Cricetulus griseus: one gene and its partners. The protein of the gene in region 5 purifies or fractionates together with the protein of the main gene of each other region. This does not show direct contact. Links are inferred from orthologs where the notes say so. Each region holds a gene or a part of one and is shown on either strand. Other genes may lie near its edges.

Evidence for each region.
Region 1: the proteins of DNA-directed RNA polymerase II subunit RPB11-a (region 5) and Rpap2 purify together in Homo sapiens (affinity purification with mass spectrometry; 5 studies listed by BioGRID and IntAct, with this or other methods). This does not show direct contact. The link is inferred for Cricetulus griseus from reciprocal best matches to the Homo sapiens genes POLR2J and RPAP2.
Region 2: the proteins of DNA-directed RNA polymerase II subunit RPB11-a (region 5) and Polr2m purify together in Homo sapiens (affinity purification with mass spectrometry; 3 studies listed by BioGRID and IntAct, counting the BioPlex papers as one, with this or other methods). This does not show direct contact. The link is inferred for Cricetulus griseus from reciprocal best matches to the Homo sapiens genes POLR2J and POLR2M.
Region 3: the proteins of DNA-directed RNA polymerase II subunit RPB11-a (region 5) and Gtf2b purify together in Homo sapiens (affinity purification with mass spectrometry; 3 studies listed by BioGRID and IntAct, with this or other methods). This does not show direct contact. The link is inferred for Cricetulus griseus from reciprocal best matches to the Homo sapiens genes POLR2J and GTF2B.
Region 4: the proteins of DNA-directed RNA polymerase II subunit RPB11-a (region 5) and Uxt purify together in Homo sapiens (affinity purification with mass spectrometry; 3 studies listed by BioGRID and IntAct, with this or other methods). This does not show direct contact. The link is inferred for Cricetulus griseus from reciprocal best matches to the Homo sapiens genes POLR2J and UXT.
Region 6: the proteins of DNA-directed RNA polymerase II subunit RPB11-a (region 5) and Med26 purify together in Homo sapiens (affinity purification with mass spectrometry; 5 studies listed by BioGRID and IntAct, with this or other methods). This does not show direct contact. The link is inferred for Cricetulus griseus from reciprocal best matches to the Homo sapiens genes POLR2J and MED26.
Region 7: the proteins of DNA-directed RNA polymerase II subunit RPB11-a (region 5) and Rprd2 purify together in Homo sapiens (affinity purification with mass spectrometry; 3 studies listed by BioGRID and IntAct, with this or other methods). This does not show direct contact. The link is inferred for Cricetulus griseus from reciprocal best matches to the Homo sapiens genes POLR2J and RPRD2.

What each region holds. Positions count from the first base shown.
Region 1 is NC_048600.1:2,358,648-2,362,862, reverse strand, and holds the start of Rpap2 (putative RNA polymerase II subunit B1 CTD phosphatase RPAP2), read right to left. Parts: upstream 2,801-4,215; 5' UTR 2,786-2,800; coding exon 2,659-2,785; intron 1,843-2,658; coding exon 1,797-1,842; intron 1-1,796. Other genes in the region: Glmn (glomulin), read left to right, coding at 3,308-3,369, 3,843-3,900.
Region 2 is NC_048597.1:182,991,350-182,995,347, forward strand, and holds the start of Polr2m (protein GRINL1A), read right to left. Parts: upstream 2,801-3,998; 5' UTR 2,661-2,800; coding exon 2,548-2,660; intron 748-2,547; coding exon 109-747; intron 1-108.
Region 3 is NW_023276806.1:16,358,128-16,360,526, forward strand, and holds the end of Gtf2b (transcription initiation factor IIB), read right to left. Parts: intron 1,906-2,399; coding exon 1,624-1,905; intron 892-1,623; coding exon 758-891; 3' UTR 501-757; downstream 1-500. UniProt on the Homo sapiens protein: General transcription factor that plays a role in transcription initiation by RNA polymerase II (Pol II). Involved in the pre-initiation complex (PIC) formation and Pol II recruitment at promoter DNA.
Region 4 is NC_048604.1:125,813,291-125,817,287, forward strand, and holds the start of Uxt (protein UXT), read right to left. Parts: upstream 2,801-3,997; 5' UTR 2,707-2,800; exon of another isoform or gene 2,530-2,706; 5' UTR 2,520-2,529; coding exon 2,422-2,519; intron 650-2,421; coding exon 568-649; intron 430-567; coding exon 362-429; intron 94-361; coding exon 1-93. UniProt on the Homo sapiens protein: Involved in gene transcription regulation. Acts in concert with the corepressor URI1 to regulate androgen receptor AR-mediated transcription. Together with URI1, associates with chromatin to the NKX3-1 promoter region.
Region 5 is NC_048597.1:115,111,156-115,115,255, reverse strand, and holds the start of DNA-directed RNA polymerase II subunit RPB11-a, read right to left. Parts: upstream 2,801-4,100; 5' UTR 2,697-2,800; coding exon 2,644-2,696; intron 1,046-2,643; coding exon 956-1,045; intron 1-955. UniProt on the Homo sapiens protein: Core component of RNA polymerase II (Pol II), a DNA-dependent RNA polymerase which synthesizes mRNA precursors and many functional non-coding RNAs using the four ribonucleoside triphosphates as substrates.
Region 6 is NW_023276806.1:247,288,613-247,292,898, forward strand, and holds the start of Med26 (mediator of RNA polymerase II transcription subunit 26), read right to left. Parts: upstream 2,801-4,286; 5' UTR 2,756-2,800; coding exon 2,684-2,755; intron 1-2,683. UniProt on the Homo sapiens protein: Component of the Mediator complex, a coactivator involved in the regulated transcription of nearly all RNA polymerase II-dependent genes.
Region 7 is NW_023276806.1:60,735,635-60,739,134, reverse strand, and holds part of Rprd2 (regulation of nuclear pre-mRNA domain-containing protein 2), read right to left. Parts: intron 1,343-3,500; coding exon 1-1,342.

The DNA of each region.
Region 1 (4,215 bases), on a different chromosome or scaffold from region 5:
ACGGCCATACCACTCTGAACATGCCCGATCTCATCTGATCTCAGACGCTAAGCAGAGTTGGGCCTGGTTAGTACTTTGATGGGAGAAAATGCCTCTATAACGTTTTGGGCTGTAGGCAAACCTGTAGGGCATCTTCTTAATTAGTGATTGATGGGGGAATAGTTTAGCTCATTGCCTGTAATGTTACCCCTGGGTTTATGGTCCTGGGTTCTATAAGAAAGCAGGTTAAGCAAGCCTTTCGGACAAGCCAGTAAGCAGCACCTCCCCATGGCCTCTGCACCAGCTTCTGCCTCAGGGTTCCTGCCCTGTTGGAGTTTCTGTCCTGACTTCCTTTGATGATGAACAGTGATGTGGAAGTATAAGCCAGATAAACCCTTCCCTCCCAAGTTGCTTTTGGTCATGGTGTTTCCTCACTGCAATGGTAACCCTGACTAAGACAGTGGTGTATGAAGCAGTACTCAAACATTCTGGTCTTGGGATTCCTTTATATTCTTAAAACTAGAGCTTTTTCACATATGGATAATATCTGTCGGTATTTACTACATTCAGATTAAAACAAATTAAAAACAATTTATTTCACTTGACAATACCAAGCCTGTCAGATGTTAACTTTTAAATGCATTCTATTAAATGAGTGAACTGATGTACATTTTTTGCTTGTATTTTTTTAGCTGGATTGAACTTGGAAGTATATTATGTCAGAATAAATCAAGAGGATCCGTCACCTGTTATCAATCACCATTTCATTACCTTATGGATTGCTTTGTCATCCTAGCTAATCTGCTCACAATACATTTTAGCTGGAGCTGGGAGTGTAGCTCAGTGGTAGAGTACTGGCCTAGGATGCAAAGTATTATGCAGCTCCACAGGAAATGCTTTCCTGAACAGTTCTCGAATACGTCTAGCATCTCTAACCCTCCACACCACCTCGCCCTAAATTAAACCTTACATCCAAGCACTGCCTTGCTGTTCTGTGCTCAGACAAACCAAATTTCTCCATGTGACACAGTAGATAGTACATGAACAGAATTCTGCCTCCTTCCCTCCCTCTGGGGATGTTATACACACCCGACCCCAGGCTCTTCATACACACTATCCCCCTAGCTGAACTTCTCTCATCCCTACTGTGTGCTTTACACCTACTCTCTTCAGGGTTTAGAGAAGCCTTGTCTTGAAAACCCACAGGCCACCCCCTGCCAATCTAAATCATTAGCCCTGCCTCATATCTCCTTTTTCTTCATAACACTTACTGCAACTGGTGATGACATATTCATTTGTGTTAGTTTAACTGACATTTCTCAGTCCCAGTGCACTAACCCAAATACAGGCTATCTTGTATTTGGAAAATATTTTGAAAGAAGAGTTTAGTGAATCTTGAAGTGTTGAGTCACGGAGACTTTTAATCTCTTCACAGACAATACCTCTCTTAGAGATCTTTTGTGACATGAGAGATAGATAGTAAAGGGTGGTTTTGGTTTGTTTTTAAATCTGCATTTAATGCTAGGAGACGAAGGGTTCCAGTGAGTCTGGCATATACAACAGTAAGCATGGATGTGAAGAGATGGGGAAGGAATGCTTGGTTAATTCAGGGATGGTGTGCCCACTATGTTTCCAACAGTTTCCAACAGCCTTAGCCTCCAGTTTGCTTTCCTTAAAGTTTTGAGAACTATTAGTGCTCCCTACATCTTCTCATAAGTTTGTTCTCAGTACATAGTTCAATGCCCAAATCCCAAGACTAGAAAATAAAACCAAACAAATCTGATCCAATTAATGAGATAAAAGGAAAGTGGCTATACCTTCTGGAAGCATCTTCTGGTTGGAGGGCACTTGTCTGTTTAGTTCCTACAATTGAAGAGATAACAGCAAATGCAAACACACATTTGATGTAGCAGTCTTACCCAAATAACACACTGTGGGCAGCTTTTCCTTTTCTCTCACAAATTTCATTTCTAGGTAGACAAGAAGGAAACTCCATTGCTTCTGTAAATTAACTACATCTCAATTTTTCTTGACTAAAATCTCTTTGGGGACTGGCTTTTTTCATGTATCATATCAGCTTTAATCAAGTACTTCTTTAAAACAAACAAACAAACAAACAAACAAAACAAGCCAGGCGGTGGTGGCACATGCCCTTAATCAGGAGACAGAAGGCAGGCGGATCTCTGTGAGCTCAAGACCAGACTGGTCTACAGAGGTAGTTCCAGGACAGAGCTAGGGCTGCTACACAGAGAAACCCTGTCTCAAAAAACAAAAATAAATAATAAATAAAAAATAAAAAACAAAACAAAACTTAAAGCTTTAGGATAAACATTTCTCGGTCTCCCAAATGCTAGATAGCTTGCCTAAAAAGAGGCGCTGATACCTCAGAGACCAGGCCCCAAAGCAGTCCAAAAGGAGGTGTAGTCCAGGATTCGAGGCGGCTGAACACCACCTGTTCTTGGCCCCTTGTGCTGGGGTCCCCAGCACGGCCCACGCAGGGGAAGACCCCGGAACACCCGCGTGAGGCCGCGGGATTCTTTCCCGAGGGCACCGGGGCAGCCACCCGCCACTCGGAGCCCTCCCTCCCCCGGGGGCAGACTGGGCAAGCAGCCCGCGCGCGCAGTGTAGACTCAAGCCAGGGTCTCGGGGTCCAAACCTGGAAGAGGCTACGGTTCGTACCTGCAGCCTTTCGGTAGGTGCTGGAGGCCGGGGCACTCGGGCCCAGCGAGAAAGGAACCGCAGAATCAGCCATGGAAAACGCAGTCAGAAGGTGAGACGCTGGCGGCCGCCAGGCTCCGCCCCCCATGCGTCTTCCGGACCGTGCTGGGGGCGGGCCCATGGAGGGAGGGGCGAGCGCTGGAGAGGGTGTACCCAGTCCAGGGGCGGGGCGAGCACCGGAGGGGACGGGCCCAGGGAGGGCGGGGCGAGCGCCGAAGGGTGAAGACCCAGCCCAGGGGCGGGGCGAGCGCCGGAGGAGGCGGGGTCCCAGAGGCGGGGCGAACGCCGGAGGGGGCGGGCCCGACCTAGGGGCGGGGCCAGGAGTGAGGCCTGCGCTGCGGGAGGTGGAGAAGGCGAGCGGTCTGGCGGGTAGGTGGACGAGCTGGCTAGGGCTGGTCCAGGCTGGCTCATCAGGACCCTGGCAGCGCGAGGCTCGCCTGCTAGGCCCCTCGAGGTGCTGGAGCCTGGATGCTCTGCCCAGTAGGAACAGGGAAACAGGCAGGGAAACAGGGAGAAATGGCTCCCCCTCGGCTCAGCCCACAGGCGCGGTAGGGTGTGATTTTGCTGTCCGCGCCTGGGGGGCAGCGATTCCACCAGCCCCCGGGGCCGCATGCTGTGCTGGTCACCACCGAAGGCCTTCTCTTCGGGTGGTTCGGTGATCTCACTGACTAGGTTTGGTTCCTGTGGAGAGGGCAGGTCTTGTGGGGCATGGGGTGAAGGGCGTCAGAGTCTTCAACTTATTTGGGTGACTTAATTGTGTTGGATTTCAGTATTTATCAATGGGACATTTTAAAGATTCCCTAATGATTAGAATTCTTATGCCAGGTCTACCGTTTTTGTTTTTGATTTTGTTTTTTTTTTTTCATGAAAGGAATACTTTCCTCTTTTGAAAAAAAGTTCTTCTAGGAAGTTCTCTCTAGGGTTCTTTTTCTTTTTTAAATCTCTTTTCATTCTTTAGGCAATACACTAGAGGCTTTAAAAATGTTCTAGTAGACTAGCACACTAGCGTTCAGTAATACCATTTAAGCTATAAAAATTTACATTGTATTTATGTGTTTTCTATTAATTCAGAATGAAACAGTTTATGAAACATAATTTACATAGTATCACAACTAACTGTGTTTTGTATTCATTTCATCATCAAGACTAGGACACTTATTAGGAATGGCTGTTGAGGAACTTCAGTGCATAATAAAAAGATGTGTAAGTAATTCTCTAAAACCACCTGTAAAATATGGCAAGGGCATAGATTATCTTTAATTACTTTGTGGTCACTCACATTATTTACCTTATCTATAATTCCAGCTTTTTTTGTTTTTTACTTGTAAATAAACAGCATAAGAGTAGGAAGGTAGATTGGATTTGTGTGTGTGTGTGTGTGTGTGTGTGTGTGTGTGTGTGTGTGTGTGGGCCTTTAATCCCAGTACTTAGGAGGCAAAGGCAGGGAGGTCTCTGTGAGTTTGAGGTTGGCCTGATCTACATAGTGATTTCCAGGACAGCAAGGGCTATAACAGAAAG
Region 2 (3,998 bases), about 68 Mb from region 5:
TGTTCACTCCTGCTTAGAAGATCCTCACACACACACAGCACTCTCTGAACTGGCATACCACATGAAACATTCTTGGGACAAGCCTGTTCCCTGTTCTGTGACACTTACACATTGGTCTTAAACTTATGAGGAGGGGGCACTGGGTTCTTGGCTCGCATTTCTAGCACTTCCATGTAATGAGGCCTCTTAGGCGTCTCACTCTGGAGCTCCGGCACGTTCTCAGAGCTGCTGTTTTCTTCTGAGGGTTCACTCTGGTCTACAATTGTGATCTTCTGCAACTTAGTGATAAACAGACTGTCAATGCTGCTGGAAATGTCTTCCACTTGACTTGAAACAGGGCGTTGGGGGAGATGTTTGTTAACTTCAGATGAGGGTGCCCTGGCTGTACTGCCGGGAACAGGGCCGGTGTTCACTGTGCAGTCAGCCTCCAAAGTCTCTTCATTGCCTTTGTGAGTGAGATGTACAGGTCCTTGTGTTTCTGAGGTTGTTTTAGATGATTTGATGTCTACAGAGGAACAGTCAAGAACTAATGATGAAGTATCAAGCATCAGGTCAGAATTCTGGGCCTTGTCTATGTCGATATCAACTCGTGTGGTTGCTTTTTGCCTTAGCTTACAGTCTACACTAACAGGATGAAACAGTTCACTTCTCCCTCTAACTTCTTCACGTTCTGCAATGGCAGCTTTCAGTTTGGCAACGGTGTCTGAAATCTTTTTACCTTTGTCGGGCAATTTGCAAATGAATTTTCTGTCAAATGCAAAAAAAAGAAAGAAAGAAACCAACATGTACACATTAGAGCCATGTTTTTAAACATGAAAACACGGTATTTAAAAGGCAGAATATAATCCTCAAAGAAAAGCTGGCTTTGAAGTTTTTTCAAAATAAATCTGATTTTTATCTGGCCTAATACAGGAACCCATCAGATATTTTCCCAATCTAAAATCTGAAATTCTTCAAGCCCAGACAATGACTGCCCTGTGGAAAACTTCACACCTTGCCACATGATGAGATGCAGTCAAAACCCAAGCTATAAAGAACACAACACAAAATTACCTTGAAAGTCATATATAAGAAACAACTGAAATCATTTTGAGACTTGGGTCTTAACTCGATACCGTCCCAATACACTCACATATACATTCCAATCTCCCTAAAAATATAAAATTCTGGTTTGTGTATTTAGGAAAGCAGATATTCAACCTGTTCAATATAAATAAAGACTAGTGGTTTTAAAAATATGGTCTTTGAACCCTAATGAGGCTGAAAAATGGGTCAAAAGCACTATTTGCCATTTCTGTCATAAAAGCTGAGTACAACAGGTTTCACAGAGGTCACATAATAGAATACATCACTATCTTACAAAGGAAGATGGACTTATGTGTTTTTGTGAAAGACTTAAGTTGTTTCTGTTAAATCAGCAATATTGCCAGTATAAATAAACAGGAGCTCTTAGGGATGCCCAGTGATTCTTAAAGAATCTAAAAATGTCCTGAGATCAAAAGGTTAATTTATTGCTATTATTAACAACCCATTCTGGAGAAAAAAAGAAGAAAAAAAAAAAAAAAGAATCAAAACAATACCTGTCTCCAGTGCTCACTGGCCCCTTTTGCTCAGTGAAATTCCCTTTCTGGTTCTTTCCCTTAGTTACATAACAAATGAAGATCTCTTAGGTCCTCTATTATTCCCGATACCACACCACATTCATGTTTTCTGCCTCTCTGCAACTGGGGTTCCTCTGCTTATTCAGCCCTCTCTTGAGCCTAGTACCCATTTCTCAGGGTTTAATCAGTTGGCTTTTAACTAACTAAACGCCTGCCATTATTCCCCTCCACTAAATACACCCGCGTAAAAAAAAAAAATTAACCTTGAATCCATTCCTCTCTCCCAATTTTCTCATTATCCTTTGTGGCTCCCCAGAAATTTCAACCACCTGTTAACTATGAATATGTATTTATCTCCAAATTATTTCACCAGTACTTAAGTTTTCCCAGTTTCTCGATTGCCTTCACAGTTCACCTTCCCATCTTGCTGAAAAAAAATCTCTCGGAAAAAAATACATTTTTGGCGTCTTCTGCCTCTTATTACCTCAACCCCGCTCCTAAACAAAGCTGCCTTTAAAAATTAAAACGTCAGCTATCATCATCCACCCTACTACGCGGGAGCGAAACTTTCTAGGCCTAATTAGCCCATCTTTACAGCACACTCTCCCCGTCTCCTTTGCTTTGGGAAAGAGTGGGGCTCTAGATAGAGAAGCGGGGATCGACGCCGTCTGGTCGCAAGGACTGGGTCCCCAGGGTTACGTTTTCTCAAAGCCGCTGTGGGGACGTGGAATGGAGCAGGCGCTGCTGCCTGCTGAGGGCCAGGCAGCATGGAGGAACGCCGCGCGCAGCACGGGCCTGGCCAGGAGGCATGACCACGCAAGGTCACCTTCGCCCGAAAGGCCGCGGCGGGGAGCGGGAGGCTGGTCCCGGATCTCTACCCCCGAGAGCCTATCCCTTGATCCCGGTCCCGATTCCCCGCAACCGCGACCCCCGAGCCACCGCTTACTCGTTGCGCAAAAGTCTCTCCTGGCGCCTCAACCTCTCCCGCAGCTCCGCCGAACTCCGCTGCCCCAAGTCCTCGGGAGCTGGGGGCTCGAAGCCGCGGGGCAGCGAGAACATTGTGCACGGGCTGCGGCTGACGCGGAGGGCACGGCTCCCCGGCGGGGCCCACGGCGGGAGCAGGCTCCGCGGCCGGCGGCGACTCGGGCGCGCGAGCGGGAGTCGCCATTTTCCCGGAAGAGCACGGCTTCTTCGAGCCGAATGGAGCTTTATTGAAATGCCGGAAACGGACCGGGCCAGGAGCAAGGGGGCGCCCGAGGAAGAGCTCAGGGGCGGAAGTTACATCACCGCAGAAGTGTCTGGGTTTGGCGCGCTTTCGCTGGATGTGTGTCCTTTGCTTTCCCAGCTTTTCGACTTCGCTTTGAGAAAGTATAGGACACCCATGTCAAAGACTTACTGACTCACTTCTATTAAGCAAAGTATGCCAGAAGTAATAGTGTCACATCTCAATTAAGCAGTACAGTGTTTGGACAAACATTTCACAGGGATTCCTGAATGAACACTAATAACCGTAAAAATAAATGACAGGGGGTTGTAGAGATGGCTCAGTGGTTAAGAGTGCATAGTGCTCTTGCAGAGGACTAGAACTTGGGTAACAGCACCCCTGTGGGGTAGCTTACAATTGCCTTTAACTGCACCTCTAGGGCATCTCACAACCTTCCCTGGCTTCTGCAGGCACCTGGTTCACATGCACACACATACGAGCACACACACAATCAAAACATAATAAATATTTAAAAAACAATGAATGACCAGTATTACTAGCAATTATAAAATGCATTTTATAAACACAATATAGCTAAGCGTGGTAGTGCATGCCTTTAATCTCAGCACTTGGGAGGCAGAGACAGGCTAATCTCTGTGAGTCCAAGACCAGCCTGATCTACATAGTGAGTTTGAGACCTGCCAAGGCGACATAGTGAGTCCCTGTCTCAAGACAAACAAAACAACAAGATTTGGATATTTGGACAAATCAGAATATCAGGAATTAGACTGACCCTGTCAAGTGTTAGGAAGAAGAAGAAGAAGAAGAAGAAGAAGAAGAAGAAGAAGAAGAAGAAGAAGAAGAAGAAGAAGAAGAAGAAGAAGAAGAGGAGGAGGAGGAGGAGGAGGAGGAGGAGGAGGAGGAGAGAGGAGGAGGAAGAGGAGGAGGAGGAGGAGGGAGGAGGAGGAGGAGGAAGAGGAGGAGGAGGAGGAGGAAGAAGACGAAGAAGAAGAAGAAGAAGAAGAAGAAAGAAGAAGATCTGAGATTTCCATAGACAGCTAAACAGGGAGGGGTTTGCAAATAGTAGAACCTCTTTGGAAAATAGTTTGATAATTTCTGAGTCTGGCTTTGTTAATGTTTAGTGTAATGATCTTGAAGTTCATCTATGCCAATGTTTCTTTATATTGCTAAGT
Region 3 (2,399 bases), on a different chromosome or scaffold from region 5:
ATTCTATGCTAACATGCACAGAATGGATTTGCTTTACCTGCATGAAAAGTGGCCTATGCTAAGCTCACTAATTATCAACTGGCAAAACAGCTTAAGGAAACAAAAGTGACCTAAGTCTAGACAACTTACTGGGGTTCTATTTTCGGAACTTTCCTGAGGACTGACCTATACTAATTGCCAAAGCCACACTTGTAAGGGCTAGTTTTGGTGGCAGATTGCAGTCATCTCTGAACTGAGACAAGCTGTTCCTGCCTCAACACCTAATGCTTTTCAAGGCCCAGCCCCTCACTTCTCACACACAGCCTCTGATGTGTGCCTGTGGTTTGCATATTCATGTTACAAAATAGATGTTAACAATGGTTCTCAAGCCTTTGCTATTTCTGCGACTTTATTAAATTGAAGAACCTAAATACAAAAATGATCGGAAACAGGCTCTCTCTATCACCTATAATAATGTACATGATTTATAATTATAAATTTCATATTACTATAACAAAAACTTTAGTTTTGAAAAATGTTTTATTTGAGAATTACATATTTAGTATCTTCCAAAATACTGTTTCCTAATCACTAAAAAAGAAAGCAGATTCAGTAAGAAATTTAAATCATTAAATATGTTGCACTAATATATACATACAGAATGCTAAATAATATTTAGTCTGGAATGCGTACCATCTTATTAAAGGCTCAACCAGCACAATGTAAGCTATGTATAAAGTTCCATGTACATGAGAGTGTGACACTTAGTTGCCTCAGCTTAGAGCTGGGGTAATTTGTCCACTGGGGTGTCAAACTTGAAGTCCGAAGGGAAGAGATCTGGAGCCCGAGGGTAGATCAGTCTGTAGGACTGTCTGATTGTAACATCAGCAACACCAGCAATATCTCCAATTTCTAAAGGACAAAAAAAGAAGACAAAAAACAAAATCTGCTCAAACTCTTACTACCAAAGAGGAAAGCAAAACAAAACAACCCCTCAATTTCACTTTTTATAACTGATAATAGAAATACATTCTACCATGTATAAGCAGGATTCAAAGTAAATACAGGCCTCTTTAAAGGTGTCTTAGTAATACTAAGGGGCATAATATATGCAAAGCAACCCAGGGCATGGTATCCAGTAACAGGCATTGTATTCCTTTTGCCAGGTATTGTTGCAGGGCTGAGACAATCTACCTATCATGTGCAAAGCTGGGTTTATCCCCAGCATAACATAAACTATATGAGACCTTGCCTCAGTGAACAAAAATGGGGAAGGGCCTTAAGGTGCCACCCCTTACTGAGGTCCCACTGACAATTAATAGTGGCTGGGGGAAGAGGTACTATTTTCTTCAGTGAGTTGCCCATGCTCCAGTAAATGTAATCTATATCCTAAAAGATACAGATTAAAATTAAATAATTCAAGTAGGAAAAGTAGACTTGTATATAGGAAAGCCTATGCCTCTAAAATAATCACTTAAAACCAATATACTGTATTTTCTTCAGGTGCTTTCGGGGAACAGGGCTACATCTCATCCCACTCCCTTCTGTGTTGATGCTTCTTAGGGGGTTCTCAACAGTTAGCATTCTTCACCATCGACTCCCAGCCTTGCATCTCTCTGGCACACTTCCTAATAAAGATCCTACCTTTCTGTGTCCGCTTCTCAGCCGATGCCTGAGAAGCCATGTAAATAGCTGCTGCTGCCACAGAGATGGGGCTCCGGCCAGGAACCAAGTCTAGCTCCACAGCCTTTCGGGCTATGTGCGTAGCTGCCATCTGTACTTGCTTGGGGAGGCAAAGGTTGGAGCAGAACCTGGACATAAAATCCCCAGTTGTGATCAGATCCACACTGGTTTCCAAAGCTTTCAAAATCAATTTAAAACAGCGGCCAATTTCTTTCTTAGAAATCCGAGATACAGCACATATTTCTAAAAGACAAAAATTGAAAAAAATCAAGCCTGTGTTTATTTTCTAATTTATCATTTTTTTATTAGAAAAAGAAAATATTCCAGCTGTAGAAAATTCAGTCATGGCTTAAAGATGAGACCCTAACCCTTTCAAGCAGTGTTTCCCATGGAGCTTAGTATTTAAAATTTCTTGGTTTGGGAGAGCAGGAAGAGAGGAGGGAGGGGGAACTGGAATTGGGATGTAAAAAATGAATTAATAAAAAAAAAGTTAAAAAAATTTCTTGGTTTATATTTTCACCATACTTTAAATGCCAAGTGCATATGCACTCTTTCCATGCTATCTCTAAATAGCTAAAATGTTAGTCACTGCTTGAGTTGTTACAGTAAAAATGATGTGTGACAAGTCTTTGCTCTTCACTTTGACACAGGAAAACTTGAAAGATACTCATTGGATATATAGTAAATGTAGTGTCCTGCCTGGACCTCGGCAGGGAAAGTCAGTGTGCAACATTGAA
Region 4 (3,997 bases), on a different chromosome or scaffold from region 5:
CTCTTTCGGTCAATGAACTTGAGAGCTTCAGCCAGTGTCAACTCCAGGAAAAAACCATATCCCAAGGCCACATAGATGCGGGAAGTATCTGGGCTGAGGAAAGAAGTCAGAGGAAGTGGAGGAAGTCTTTATTACCATTTAGCACATTGTATAGTTGAAGGTGTTTCCTATTCCCTCCAGTTCCCTAAAGTTAAGGCTCTGTAAGGGCCGGTATTTCATGTTCATTCACTTCACACCCACAGCATGTAGCTTACATCCTAGTGCAATATAAAAGTGACCAGAGTCTGGTATATAGAACATATTAAGAAATACTTGTTGCATGAAAGAAGGAAGAAACTCGGAGGGGAGGGAATACACTCACACCATTGTGTCAACGAAGAAGTTACAGCCCAAATCCACCTGCATATATAACTCCGAGTGCTTAGTTTCCTGTAGGGCCAGGAGAAAAGAAGTAGGTGTCAGTGGCCAATTTTTAAGGCAGGAAAAAGGTTTTGTTTTGGGGTTTCTCTTCCCATCTTCCTTCTTTGTACACATATACAAACTGATACCCAATTTAAAAGCCTTTACCTGGAGTCGCTCAATTACATTTCTCAGTTGAAGGTATACAGACAGCTGCTCATATACCTTGTCTCGATGATCCAGCACCTTTCTGATACGTGGAAATAGAAGAGTGATCATTAGGCAGCCCTATTCCTCTTGAGATATCTCACATCATGGCCTAAAAGGCATTTTAAGCCAATTATGGTAGTTCACGAGTGTAATCCCAGTAATTGAAAGACTGAGGCAGGAAGATTATGAGTTCAAGACCAGCCTGGGTTACATAGTGAGATCCTGTGTTACACACACACACACACACACACACACACACACACACACACACACACACACACACACACACACGGAGACATGAGAGCGAGCGAGCGCATAGTATAGACAGAGAAAGACACACCAAGTATTTCAATAAATACAAGTCAGACTGTATTTCATCCTGAGCTCTAACTCTTACTAGCAATGTGACTTTGGCATTAGGAAACCTATTTGGGACTTAGTTTCACAACATATAAAATAGAGATGACAGTATTACCTCATAGGAACCATTAGACTCAAGTGTTTACTATAAAATGCCAGCCAAATGGTAAACACTGTATCCTTTCTATCCATCACTATTACAAATACTGCATTGTACTCAGTGCCTTATGCCAATTAAAATGCTCCATCTTCACCCTACACATACCTTCCATGCTCACACTGCTCTAGTTCCAAACTTTCTGTTCACATTAATAATGACAGCAATACTAATCATCTAATTATTGAGTTTTTAGTATGTTTCATCCACCGGAGCTAAATTCCTTTTCAAAACTATCCAGGTTATTTGTTTTTTATTTTCTGAGACAAGAACTGAGTTTCCCAGGCTACTTGTGAGTACACAAGACAGTTCTTTCCTCTCAGCCTTAATACAACTGTAGTATAGTTGGGTTTATGTAAAGTTTTAAAAAGTATTCTTACTTAATGTATTTATTTTGTGTACATGTATGGGTGCCGTGGTACACCCATGTGAGTCATAGGACAGCTTTTGGGAGTTTTTTTGTTTTCACTATGTGGATCCCAGAGAGCTAGCTCAGGACATGGAAGCAAGGCAATCCATCTTGCTGGCTCCATTGTCTTCTTTTTTTGAGACACAGTCTCAGAGCCTAGGCTGTACTCATCTTTGAAATATAGCTGAGGATGATCTTGAGCTCTGGATCGTCCTGATTCACCCATCCCAAGTACAGGGATTACAAGCCTGTGTCACAACACTGGGCTTTATTTTATCAAAACCATGTTCTACTGTTAAGGCTGGCTTGAACATCCTGGCTAAAGAAATGAATTTTTCCACCTCTCCACTAGATAGGACTACTGACATGCACCACAGAGCCTGAGCCTGGCTTCATTCTAATTTTTTCCCCCTTTTAGAGACAGTCAAGTTTATATTCCAGGCTGGTCTCCAACTTCGAAGATCCTCTTGCTTCTGCCTCCTTCGTGCTGGAATTACAGTCCTGTGTTATCAGTCTAGGCTTTGGGTTACATTCTTTACCTGGGTAGACACATTTAAAACTCAAAACCACCACATTAAGAAGGCTCCATAAACTTTCCCATTCCACAGATGAGCAAAGTTTATAAAGCACAGAGAGGAGAGGTGATGTACAACTTTTTCATAAGTAATGGCTAAATGGCCCAGTCAGAAATGTCGTGGGTTTTTATGACTATTTTAATCCGACGAACGACGCCAGAGGCTCCACTACAAGGGCCAAGTTCCAACCAAATCGCAGCCCGGACGTCAACCCCTCTTCCCGGCCAATCCGAAAGTTTTCCCGGGATTCTGTCCCACCCACCACGTGGAATTTCTCAAATGTCACGCCTAGAATCTGCGTTGTCACTCACTGCAAGTCTCGCTGCAGTACGTCACTGATAAAGGCCTCGTACCGCAGCACTTTCTCTCCTACAGTATCCAAGGCCCGCCGTTTCGGGGGTGTCGCCATGATAGGCTTCCTGGGGAGTGAGGAGGGAGAAAAACCACGTTGAGTGCTCCTGTTTAACTTCACAAAGTTCTCTCCAACCTCTTAACGTTGGGTATGACTTCTTTCGGCTCATGCTACGGGGTTCCTCCTTCTGCCCAACCCGACTCTAACACGCAGTCACTCACCGGTACCCAAGCGCCGTGCTTACCTTAGGGCCACCTAAGGTTAGAATGAACCGCGGTTTCCGGGTGGCGCGGGTGGATGACGTGTTTCCAGCATGGAGGGGCGGTCCAGAATGAGAGGAGACCGCCTGAAAGTGGAGCGCTGAGGCGGGATCTTAAGGAAACCCTGGAGAATACTAGGAAGTCAGAGGGCGGGCTGTCTGCTAGCCGGCTAGTGGTTGACAGCCGCGGGTAGCTGTTTCGGGTGAAGTCTAATGAGCTTTGCCGGGTTCTGAGGGAGGTTGGACGCACAGGAAGGTAGGGAGAGGGAGTAAATCGTTTACAGCTTGTTTGAATCGCGCGCGCATGTTTGAGCGAGCGCGGCAGCGGTACTGGAGTTAAATGCAGTTGTGAGCTCCCATGATGTGGGTGGTAGTAACGGAGTTCACATCCCCTGCAAGAACCTTTTGTGCTCTTAAATGCCGAACCATTTCTGTAGCCTTCTCGCCGGTCTTAATTGTTTTTTTTTTCTTATTTTATCTTTTTTGTCTGCATGCGTGTGCACTATGTACGTGCAGTTCCCGTGGAGGCTAAAAGAGGGCGTCGGATCCCCTGGAGCTGGAGCTACTGAATATTTGTGAGCATTGGGAATCGAACCTGGGGCGTCTACAAGAATAGCCAGTGCTGTTAACCATAGATCCATCTATGTAGTCCCCACCTTTTTTTTTTTCTTTTAAAATCATTTCTATTCTTTGAGAATTTCATAACATGTATGCAATGTATTTTTGCCATATCCACTCCCTACTCCCTCCTTCCAACTCCACCCAGACCCCTCCTACCTCATTTCCCTTCCACCTTCAAGTCCTCTTTAGCAAAACAAACAAACAAACAAACCTCACTGAGTTCACATAAGCATTTGATAATTTAAAAAGCACAAGATTGCCTATAGACTAGTAAGGATTATGGTACTAATCTATAAAGAGGGCAGTATATCCTGTGGCAATTGGTAAATTTGAATATTGCTTATTTTATAAACACATACGCCGGGCGTTGGTGGTGCACGCCTTAAATCCCAGCACTTGGGAGGCAGAGGCAGGCGGATCTCTGTGAGTTCGAGGCCAGCCTGGTCTCCAGAGCCAGTGCCAGGATAGGCTCCAAAGCTACACAGAGAAACCCTGTCTCGAAAAACCAAAACCAAACCAAACCAAACCAAACCAAACCAAAACAAAAAACCCCAAAACATACACGTATATTTCACACACATGGTTTTGGGTTTCATCCTCCGTAAAAGGAATGGGCAGGAGCACATAAAAAATATTTAAACAGACACAAATTTTA
Region 5 (4,100 bases):
AACTCAATGTAGGCCAAGCTGGCTTTGAACTTACAGAGATCTGCCTGCTGTGGTTAAAGGCACAAACCACCAGACCCAGCACATTACATGCAGGGAAGGCTGGAGAACTGGATTAGTTAAAAGGTTTCCAGCACCCATGTGGCATCTAACCACCTGTACCTCCAGCTCCAAGGGATCTAGTTCTTTCTGACCTTCATGGGTAACAGACACACGGTAGACATACATAGGCAAAAGGTGTTTTAAATTTAAAGAAAGTATTGCTCTTGGAGAGGAGCCAGAGTCAATTCCCAGCACTCATGTCAGGTGGGGACCGTCTGTCACCCCCCCAGCTCTGAAAGCACTGGCAATCACCCAGTAACAAAAGTTTGGTAATCTGCCGATGCCTGCAGCTTTCTATCAAATGTAGGGGTAAGTGAGGTGACACTGCTGGCCCCCTTTGCTTTATCTTTTTGAGATACTGTATGTAACTGGCTGTCCTAGAGCTTACTATGTAGACCAGGCTGGCTCTGAACTCACAAGTACTCCATCTGCCTCTGCCTCCCGAGTGCTGGAATTACAGGTGTGTACCACCATACCCATCACCTCTTAGCATCTTGATGCCCACTAAAATGAAAACCTGCTTTGCTGGAGTCCCCTGAACTTGATCTTGGCCAAAAGACCAAGAGGCAACTGCAAACTTATACACTACATGAATGAGCCAACAGGAAGCTGATGTGTTACGTGTTACGTGGCCAGGATCCCGGCAACCATGGTAAGGTGAGTCAGTTTGAGTCCAGTCTACACTACATGAACCCCTACATCAAAAAGCCAACAAAAGCAAGCCGCATGTGAACAGACCTGTCAGTGACAGGTTAAAGTGCCAGCAAGCTGCGGAGAGACGGAAGGAACCGTCCCAGGGCATGTGCTCAGCCTACAGAGCTCTGGTGACACTCGAGGCCTCTGGCCTGGGACTTACGATTTGATGATGTTCCCCAGAGTGTGGTCTTCTTTGTTGATGGTGAACAGGCAAGCATTGGGCACCTTTGTGTCCTTGTTAATGGTGATTCTACAATGAGACAGGCAAAGGCTGAGGGTGATAGCTTTCCCTGGCCCCACATCCAGCTCTTGTGATGCTGACACTGATTCTCAAATCGGTGTCCCCTTTGTGATCAAACATTCTAGAAACTGCAGTTGGGCTGTTCCCACTACCCCAGAAACAAAAACATCCAGCTCTTTCCCTCATACAAATTGGTTGTCTTAAACTAGCTCTTGACTAAATTCTTTCCTAGAAGACAGAAAACAGCTTGTCTCCAAACCCCCTAACAATTCAAGGGAGGCCATCATTCTGCAAGTCCCACTATCCCCAGTCTGCTCGCCCCAAAGGGCTCTCTGAGAGCTCTGGCATGGTTCAATGGGTCACCATTTATCTCAAATTTTTAAGGCTCTGGGTTTCATCCTACCACTCACTCCCCCTCCAAACAAAACAAGCAAGGTAGGCCTGCTGGGACTAGTCACTGGGACTAGTAATCCCAGTGACGGGGGCAGGAGGGCAGAGAAAAACACTGTCATCCTTGCCTTCCTTGACAGACCATGCTGGCTGACTCCTATCTACACTTCCACGTCCCTGGAGGAGCAATGAAGTAGGCACATTGCACAGCTTTGACACGGCTTCTGGAGATCCACACCAATCCTCAGCAAATGCTTTGAGCTGTGACCCACTGAGCCATCTCCCCAGCCTAGCAAATGTTGGGCAGGGGGAGCTGGAGTGAGCCAGGCAGTGGTGGAGCACACCTTTGATCCAGCGCTTGGGAGGCAGAGGCAGGAGGATCTCTGTGACTTCGAAGCCAGCCTGCACTACAGAGCGAGTTCCAGGACAGCCAGAGCAACACAGAGGAAACCCTGTTTTGAAAAACCAAAAGAAAACTACAAAAAAAAAAAAAAAGCTCGAGTGTAGCTTATTGATAGAGCAGTAACCTAGCATGGGCCAGACCCTGGGTCCAGTCCCCAGCATGACCAAAACAAAAAAACAAGGAACCTTCTCTACTCCGTGATGGCACCTTATCTATACACACCAAGGACCCTTTCCCACACAGGATTGCTCCTTTTTTCTTTTTCAGAACGGGATTTCTCTTGGTCCTGGAACTACCTCTATAGACCAGGCTGGCCTTGAACTCAGAGATCCGTCTGCCTGTGCCTCCTGAGTGCGTCATTAAACCGTCGAGTCCTGAAATTCTTTCTAGTGTTGAAGCCACGAACCTGAGTTTGGCCGAGATCCCTGAAAATCTAGAGGAAATCCTCAGGCTGCTGAGGAGTGTGAGAGGGTAGCTGTGTCTCGGTCCCTTCACCGCTACCATCATTATCCTCCTGCCTCAGTCGCCAAGTCCTGGAATCACAGGCGATCGCACCCTATGCAGGGGGGTGAGCTCTAAAGCCATCGCTGCGCAGCATGGATAATGGGGCTGCAGACCAGTGAAAAGGGAGCCTGACACTCTGAGTTCGAATACAGTCCCCGACACTTCCTAAGTGTCTGGAGCAAGGGCTCGACGTGCCCCGGCCTCAGTTTCCCCGCTGTAACACAGGCGTACATCGCACCACCGCCTGAAGTTCGGCAGACGCGCACGAAGCACAGTGCTCACCGCGCCAGAGCTAACGGCCTCCACTTACTTCTTCTCGCCCTCGAAGAGCAAGAACGACTCGAAGGCCGGAGGAGCGTTCATCCTAGAGGTGCGCTCCGGCTCCCAGACTCAAGCCGCAGCCGCCGTTACCACACTGAGCTCCGGACCGCGACCACTTCCGGGTCACGAGGACACAGCCAATCAAAGCCCCTGGCCCCGCGCCCCCTGGTGGACCGGATGACCTTCGGCAGGCACGAGCAGGCGAGGCGGAGCAGGTTAGAAATCCTGTCCAAACCCCAGGGGCAGCACCTCCCAGCACAGGAGGCAGAGCCAAGCGGATCTCTGTGGTTTCGAGGACAGCCTAGTCTACAGAGTGAGTGCCAGGATAGGCTTCAAAACAACACAGAGAAACCCTGTCTTGAAAACAAAACAAACAAAAAGAAAAAAAAAAAAGTGGCTTTCACCAGGCGGCTCTTTGGCGCATATTCCAGCGAGGGAAGGCTGGGCCACCTGCAACTGGCTCACTGAGCTGGAATCCAAGCTGTGTATGTGTATGAGCTGCTGCTGCAGGACCCCGGCTGGCTGGATGAGGAGCAGGAAGGTGTGTAAAAGTGACAGGGTGCCAGCGGATCCTCTGTTGGACACACAGGTAACCAAAAAACAATGACAGCCTGGCACCTCTCTGCTTTTCAGCCGTCTTTGTGGCTATTGTGGCTATTTTTCCTATTTTTAAAGATTTCTATCTGCCTGTCTGTGCAGAACGTACATACAGGAGCCTTTGGAGACCAGCCTTGGAGGTGCTGGGAACCCAACTCTAGTCCTGAAAGAGTAGTCAGTCTTTAACTGCTGAGCTATTTCTCCAGCCTCCATGATGGTTCATTTTGTCAACCTGATGAGATTTAGTATCATTGTGGAAACAGACAAGTGGGCCAGCAGGACAGTCCAGTGGGTAAAGATAGTGTCACCAAGCCTGACTACATGAGTTCAATCCCCAGGACCCATGTGGGAGAAGTTGAGAACCAATTCCTCTGACCTCCCTGTGTACACACAATGTATATACAAACAAAACAAAACAAAAACTTCTGAGTGTGTTGGTGAGATTCTAGACAGGTTTAACTGAGGAAGGAAGGACTCACCATTAAGGACTCACCATTAAGGACTCACCACGTGCATGATGCCATCCTAGAGGCTAAGCCCTCAGACTGAATAAAAGAGGAAAGGAAACCATCTTGTTCTGCTTCCTGGATGCAGGTGGCAATGTGATCAGCTGCCTGGCACTCCTGTTGCTATGACATCCCAACCCTTCCTGAGGATGCTTCTGTCGGGTTTGTAGACACAGCAACAGGAACAATAACTCAGTCTCCTAGTCTTTGGAGTAACAGGTATGAGCCAGCCTAGCCATTGGTACATGAGCACTAAAACTTCACTGTATAACATGGAAGATGGCAGTGCCACCAGGGGACAAGTGAAGACAATGCCAGGTGCCAGAGGGCTTTGGAACCCTTC
Region 6 (4,286 bases), on a different chromosome or scaffold from region 5:
AGAAAGGACAGTGCTTGCTGCTCAGAAGCTAGAACACACAGCAGAGCTGGCCTTCCTCTAGAGACCTCCTTGGTCAAGGAGCTGCTCCCAATTTCAGAGACTGTGGACAGTAGGTCAGCTGCCTGGCACTGACTTTCCAAGCAACAGCTAAATTTGTTAGCTATGATTGCACTCATAAAGGTAAGCATTACATGACACCAATCTCTGTCACTTTCTCTCAAGAGGGTTAATTTTAGTGTAAGCTCTTCAACTGTGTCCCCATTTTGTATTTTTTTCCATGAACATCTTAAATATGTGTCAATTACCAAGTGGTAGAGCTCATAACTGGGCAGAGCAGAGCCCTGTGCCAGCACACAGCTCTTACTTGGGCCCTGAACAATCCAGAAAAAGTACCCTTCAATGCCTCTGGAAGAAATCAAGGACAGTCCTCCAGGCTGAGTTCTACAAAGAGGTCCTGCAAAGCCAGCACATGACAGTGTTCATGAATAGTTACTGATACACTGCATTTAGAGAAAAACTTCCCTCCTCATTAAGAGACAAGTTCTCAACTCTAGCCATCACAATGAGGTCACTTATCCCTATAGCCCTTTGAGATACACACTCCACTCCAAGTAACTTACCCACAGGTGAAGGAGTATATTAACACTTAGGCCCAAGGTAAGATTCAAAAAGCAAAGGTTTGGGGACCAGGCACTGTGGCCCACGCCTTTAATCCCAATACTCGGAAGGCAAAGGACATAGTATGTTCCAGAGGCTCTGTCTTAATACACACACACACACACACACACACACACACACACACACACACACACTCACACACTAAAATTTGAGTCCTCTATCTTCCTTCTTTTACCCCCAAAAGAATCCTTTAGTCAGAGCCTTACCCGCAAGGCTGCCCCACCTGAAGCGAAGCATCATTACTGCCTATCAAAGCACTAGCTGATCCCAGCACTCTCACAGGCAGCAGTCAGGATCCCTGGTGATTTCTCACGAGTCAACATACAGGACTTAAGAATTACACTGTGGATGCTGGCAGTGGTGTCGCACAACTTTAATCCCAGCACTTGGGAGGCAGAGGCAGGTGGATCTCTGTGAGTTTGAGGCCAGCCTGGTCTACAGGTAGAGAAACCGTGTCTCAAAAAAAAAAAAAAAAAAAAAAAAAAAAAAAAAAATCCACTGTGTACATTGTAGCTTCAGAAAACATGCAAAAGCCACTGAGGTTACATTTTTCACATCACTTGTTTGTATCTTTTAATATCTCAATCATGTAATTGCAGTAATATCAGTCACTGTTTTAAAAAACATTTAAAAAAAAAAGACTTTTTAGAAGATTTTATCTAGCCTGTCCTTACTCCACCCACCAAAAATGTCTAAAATATTGGCTAAATCAGTATCAAGGTGATCTTAATAGGGCCTCAAGATCAGGAAGAAGAGATTTACTTTGAATCTGGCAAGCAGATTCTTCCAGAGATCAGGAAACCTCCATTTCTACCAAGACTGCACAACTAATGTGAATTTCTTGGAACACACCAGAATATGGCACATTACTAAGAGTAACAAGCCAAGCACAAGTAAGGGAACCAAAAGAGCTCCCTGCTCAAACCTCAGTTACCTGGCCAAGCCCAAGATGATTTTTCTTTCCATCCTGAGCATATTAAAAAGTGATCTCAAAGGCCACTTCCTGGTCTCCCAGCAAACACTTCATACCTGGATGCTTGTGCATCTTCTCATGGCCCTGCTGCTTCCAGGAACAAAGACCCTCACCCCCTCCCTACACTGCCAACAAACCTTTGGAAAAAACACAACAGGTGAGATTAGCCTATGCTCACACAGGAAGAAAGGGTGTCCCTCTGCTCATAGGACGCTTAGCAGAGGGAAATGTGACATAAAGTGACCCCATACAGTTAACTCTTGACAGCCTAGAGACCAAACACCAGGCCGAGTCCCTCAGGTGGGGCAAGAGAGATGGAAAGAAGACCAGAATAGGGGCGAGAGAACAATCGACTGTGATGAGCAGGAATTCAGTACCAAAACCCCAGGCTTGTCAGACACACAATGGGACATTTAGGCCAAGAAAGGTGACAGGAAGGATCCCACCTTCTGCAGGGTCGTCTTTCCTAGGTAGCGACCCTTGGAGGGATTAAACTGGGGTCTGTCCAGTATCAGAAAAGAAGGGAAACTCTCCAGGGATCCCAAGCAGCAAGACTAGGGACAAGGAGGGCCTAGGGTTCTCTCCGAGCCCAAGAAGACGATTTCAGCCAGAAGACCGAAGGGAGACGCGGGCTACCAGAGTCATCGGGGGACACTAGTTGCTTCCCACCTTGACCCCCGTAGGGAGACCCTTCCGGGGGGTCTCAAGTCCCGGGGTCGAAGAGAGACAGGGAGGCAAGGTGGAAAGCACCAAGGACAATCTGGCCGAGGCAACCGAGGAGAACCAGGTCTGATTTCGGCTCCGAGCGATCCCTCAGTCCAGGCCGCGTGAAGCCTCGGCCTCAGGTACCCTGAGTCGCCGGGCTGCCCGCCTTGCCCGCGGCCCCTGGACCCGGGAGAACGAGAGGCCGAGATGGCAACGGCTGTGGCGGGCAGGGCGCCGCCGGGAGAGGCCCCCAGGCCGGGGGCGCGTCGGAGGGGGAGGGTCCCGGCACATGCGGCCTCGGTCCCCGTTCTCCAAGCAGTCACTTACGTTACTCTGGGAGTCGATGGCCTGCAGCAGCCGGTCCCTCATCTGCTGCGGAGACGCCGGAGCCGCTGTCATTGCCTGGGCGAAGCGGGGGGGAGCGGCCGGGCCGGCGGGCGGGCGGGCTGGGGCGGGGGGACGCGGGTCAGTCGCTCGCCAGCCTCCGGGAACGGAGCCGCATGTTCCCCGCGGCGCCGGAGGAGGTCGGGGCGCTCGGGGAGATGGCGGAAGACGGAGGGAAGCGGAGGGGACCGGAGCTCGGGCCCCGGGCCGCCGCCGCTGCTGCGAGCAGGGGGGGAGGAGGAGCCGACGGAGAAGCCGCCGCCGCCGCCGTCGCCGCCGCCGCCTCGAGAACCAAACTCCAGTGAGCTGCCCCCGCGCTGAGCACTCTGGGTAACCCGCGCCGCACGCAGCGTCGGCGCCACGCTGAGGAGGTTGGGAGATGGGGGCGGGCGGAGACTCTGGCTCTGGGAGGGGCCGGCTCGTGAGCCGCTTCTGTTGCCTCTGCGCATGCGCGCGCACGCGCGTTTATCAGGTCGCGTCGCCACGCCCCATGGCCCGTTCCAGAGAGCCGTTGGGAGGCAGTTGGGCGGGGCAACGGACGCTGTCTAAAGGCCACGCCCACTCCGAAAAACCGGTGGGCGGAGCTTCCTAACGGAAGCGCACCCGCTGGGTCTTGGAGCTTGGACTCTTCCTCCGGGCTGCCTCGGGGGTGCGGAGAAGGAGGACCCTCCCCTCGGATGAAGGGCCGCAGCCGGGGGCTGGGACCCGGCTCAGGAGCGACGCCAAGGAGACCCGCGCCGCGAGGACCTCGGGAGAGTTCTGCGCAGCCGCCGCCGCGGTGGAAACCGGAGGCGCGGGTCTGCGGGGCAGTGCGTGTCCCCGTATGACCCGCGCAGAGGGGACCTAAGGGCACCGCCGCCTCCGACAGGGCCTGCGCGACCCGCTCAGGAGGAAGCGCCGCTCGCGTCGCCGGCCGGAGGGACCGCCGTGCCCGAGGTGGCGGGGCTGCAGCCCGGCATCCGCCCCTTCCTGTTGGCTTTGCATCTCAGGTGCTGGAAAACAGGAACGCCCCACCGAGCAGGAAAGCAAGCGTCAGAACCACCTGGAGTTTTAGGCCACACCAAGAGAAGCGAGATGTTAAGTGTCGGGCTCCCGACCCCCCGTCTTTGGGTGACCCGGAGCTCCGCTGCAGATGACGGGAGGAGGGCGGGCGGGCGGGCGGCGGGCTCCGAGGTTACCTTAAAGATCCAGACTGGAAACGGAAGGGAAACAGGTAATGGGAACCACATGTGCTCCTGAGAGCTGGGCGACCCCTGTTAATTTTGAATTTGTTATACTTCTGAGGGTTAGCCGGGATCGGGGGATGGGGGAGAGGGGGAGGGAGAGCCTGGCATTTAATGCCAGTGCTCGGTTGGCCCGAGGATCTCTGGAGTTCGTGCCCAGCCTGGTCTACACAGTGAGCCCCAGACCAGCCAGGACGGAAAGTCAGAACCTGTCCTTCCCTCTCCCCTCCACAAACAAAAGCTTTATCATGGCTTGTTTAATTCTGCACCTGGCAGAAGCCTGCGTTACACTAGTAGAACGAAAACGTACTTCTTACATACAC
Region 7 (3,500 bases), on a different chromosome or scaffold from region 5:
GTTGGAGCGGCAAGGGTATTCTGCGAAGAGAAAAGGGAACGATGGGGGACTGAGTGAGGAGAGTCTGGGTACTGCTTCTGTGGCAGAGTGAGATGGCCAGTGGTGGACTGAGACAAGCTACTGTGGTTGGAGTCAGGGGTGAAAAACGAATCATTCTTACTCGGTGATGGTGACCGGTCTGACCCAGGTTCATTCCCTCTTATACTGAAGGCACCAAATAGCCCAGGGGGAGATGAGAGATGGTCACAGTTCTCACTAGAGTCTAGGAGTGCCCTTACAGATGGAGGAAAGGCAGACTTTACCCCAAACTCTTGGGCCCTGTGGTTATAACTGGACATGATTGGCTGGTAATCGGCGGTGTCAGAAAGTTTGCTTGACTTCAGGATGGATTTGGCTGGTTTCTTCTCTAGGTTCATCATGGCAGAGGGTGGAGGCCCTGAATATTCAAAATCTCGATAATCCTCATCTTCCTGGAAAGAAGTGTCAGGGAAGAACTTTTCCTGTGAAGAGTCCATCAGGGAAGATGGTCTCTCGACTCCCTCAGGTGGCTGCTTGTAGGAAGCATCACTGGCCAGGCCGAAGGGCCGATATGTAGACACAGAATTGGGGAGCTCTTGGGAGTAGCTTTCATCTCTTCCAGGGGGTGGTGATCTTGTACTGCTTGGTGTTGAGGAACCAGGACTGATGATCTTAGACAGCAGGGACATGGTGTCTACACTGCTGGATGTGGGCTTGTCCATCATCTCATCCTGGGTGGGTGTCCCACTCCGTTCATCCCGAACAGGGGTGCCATCGATGTTGTCAGCTGAAGTGCTAGTAGGACCACGCTGGAAGTCTGAGGAGTGGCTCTCTGATGGGGCACTGGATCCCAAGCTGCTCAGGATTGGGATGTTTAAGTTTAACCCACTGAAACCAGGGTTACCTTTTAAGAAGTTGTGGATCTTCATTTCCAGGCTTGGGGAAGTGGACTCTGATTCCAGCTTTGGCTTGGAGACTTCTGAGGATTGGCACATGGCAACTTCAGTAGGTGGAGCAGCAGGGCTAGTATTGTGGGTACCTGTAAATCCTAAAGAACTGGATGGTAATTTAAAAGTAGTGCTTGGGAGCACTGGGCTTTGCCCAACTGATGCCTTGCTTGCTGAAGTCGAAGAGACTTCAGAAGTTGAAGAATTGGGGGAATAGCCGAAGCTTTTGGAAATAAAAGACTGGGTACTGGAGAGCACATTTCTCCCCTTTATGGCAGAGCTGGTGGTGCTGGCAGGGGAGGCCGTAGAGCTCTGGGATGTAGCTTCACTGGCTGGCACTGGGTTCCCAGTAACACTCTGAAGTAAAGATGACAGGCCTGTAGAAACACAGATTAGAGGGGTTAAAAAGAACAACTACGAACATCAGAACGAAAACAAGGCAGGCTTATTAGATACTATCATTCACTCTGGTGGGAACCAGATAGACTTTAAAATATGAAGTTAAAAGGAATCCAGACTAAACAGGCAGTGACTACATGTCACAGAAAACATCAGGACAATTTATCAATTTAAAACAGTGAAGCATTCAGAGAGTCCCTGAACAATCCAGACACAAGTCCAGTACTAAAAGGTCACAGGAAAGAGGGATTTTGCATGTCAGAATCATTCACAGCTTAGCACAGCATTCTAAGCAGTATCTGTGTCTGAGCTGTGGAGTCGCTCTAAACACAGATGGATGTTCCCACCCTCCCACCCATCACAACTTACTCCAGTGTTACCATGCACTGCTGTTTTCAATAAGAACACATACAAAATTCAGAAATCTGCTTCAACATTTTTTCAACAAGTCTATCTCTTGCAGTTTTACTGTCACTTTTAAAATTATTGTGTGTGTGTATGGTTGTTTTGCCCTCATATCCTCATATATGTCTATGTACACTTGAATGCCTGAGGCCCAAAGAGGCCAGAGAAAGGTATTGAATCCCCTAGAACTGGAGTTACAACACCTATAAACTACGCAGGTGCTAAACATCATCTCTCCAGTCCTGTCTTTTTAAATTTTTTTATTTTTATTATTTTTTTATTTTATGTGCATTGGTGTCAGATCTCATGGAACTGGAGTTACAGATAGCTGTGAGCTGCCCTGTGATTGCTGGGAACTGAACCTGGGTCCTCTGGAAGAGAAGTCAGTGCTCTTAACTGCCGAGTCATTTCTCCAGGCCCAGTCCTGTCTCTTTATGAGGGGCGTAGGGTTCTCATGTAATACAGGCTAGCCTTAAACTCTTAATCCTCTTGACTCCACCTCCTTAACGCCGAGATTTTAAGTGTGTACCATAACACTTAGCTCCCCCCCCCCCTTTAAAATTCAAGGTTATTTAATTATTTATTTTTGAGGCACGGTTTCAACTACATAGCTCTGCTATGTAGACCAGGTTGGACTTGAACTCATGGAGCTCTCCCTGCCTCTGCTTTCTGAGTACTGAGATTATAGGCACATGCCACTACAGCCTGGCTCTTTTATTTTTTCTAAATTATTTTTATTTATGTGTATGTGTGTATATTGTGTGAATGTATGCCATATGTGTTCTGGAGCCTGGGGAGGACTGAAGAAGGCATTAAATACTCTGGAGCTGGAGTCACTACCAGATACGAGTGCTGGGAACAAGAGCAAGACATGGTCTTAACTGCTGGGCCACTGTTCCACCCCTCTTTTGGTTTCTTTCCAGTTTTTCTGAGACAGAATGTTGCTATGTAGGCCAGGCTATCCTCAAACTTTCAATCTTTTGTTCTCTTAAAAAATGTAGGGATTACAGGCGTGCATCACACAGACAATGCTTTCAAGACCAATTTTGTTTGTAAAAGACAGCAATGATAAACAGAAAAGCAGGAACCACAAAGTCTTACAAAGCCAGATCAATAGAAGTGCTGCTCTTATTATACAAAAATCCACAATTCCTGTTTTATACCTAGGAAAGCCCAAGAATTATTGATCAGTACAAACTGACAATGATGAGATTCAACCCTGTACACTGACAAACCTCAGAATCATGGAAAAAGAATTCATTGGTTCAGGCTGAAGTTAATGAAATCAAAGTGCTCCTGAAAATAAAAACAAACCCCTGGATCTCCTTATATAACCAGAGTGGGCTCAACCCAATGATATTCTTGTCTGCCAAAATTACAAATGTATTCTGCCATGTCCAGGCAGAAAAGTCTACAAGACAAAAAACTGAAAAGTAACATAAGATCCTCTTAAGCAAGTCATATTTTGTCAAATCTACTTACTTTACAGTCATAAATGAAAATTTCATTTCTTACTAAATCAACCAAAACTATCTTTTGGTAATGAAACACCTAAAGAAAATATTCCTGATACTTCAGTAAGTGCTTCTTCAAAATATCAATTTAAAATCATATTTACTAAGGGATTTCAATTTTTTCAATTCTCCTTGATTTCCATTTTTTATAATTCTGTATGGTCACATGCACAAGTGGACCTATAAGTAGAATCCAGAGGTCAACTTCAGGCATCAG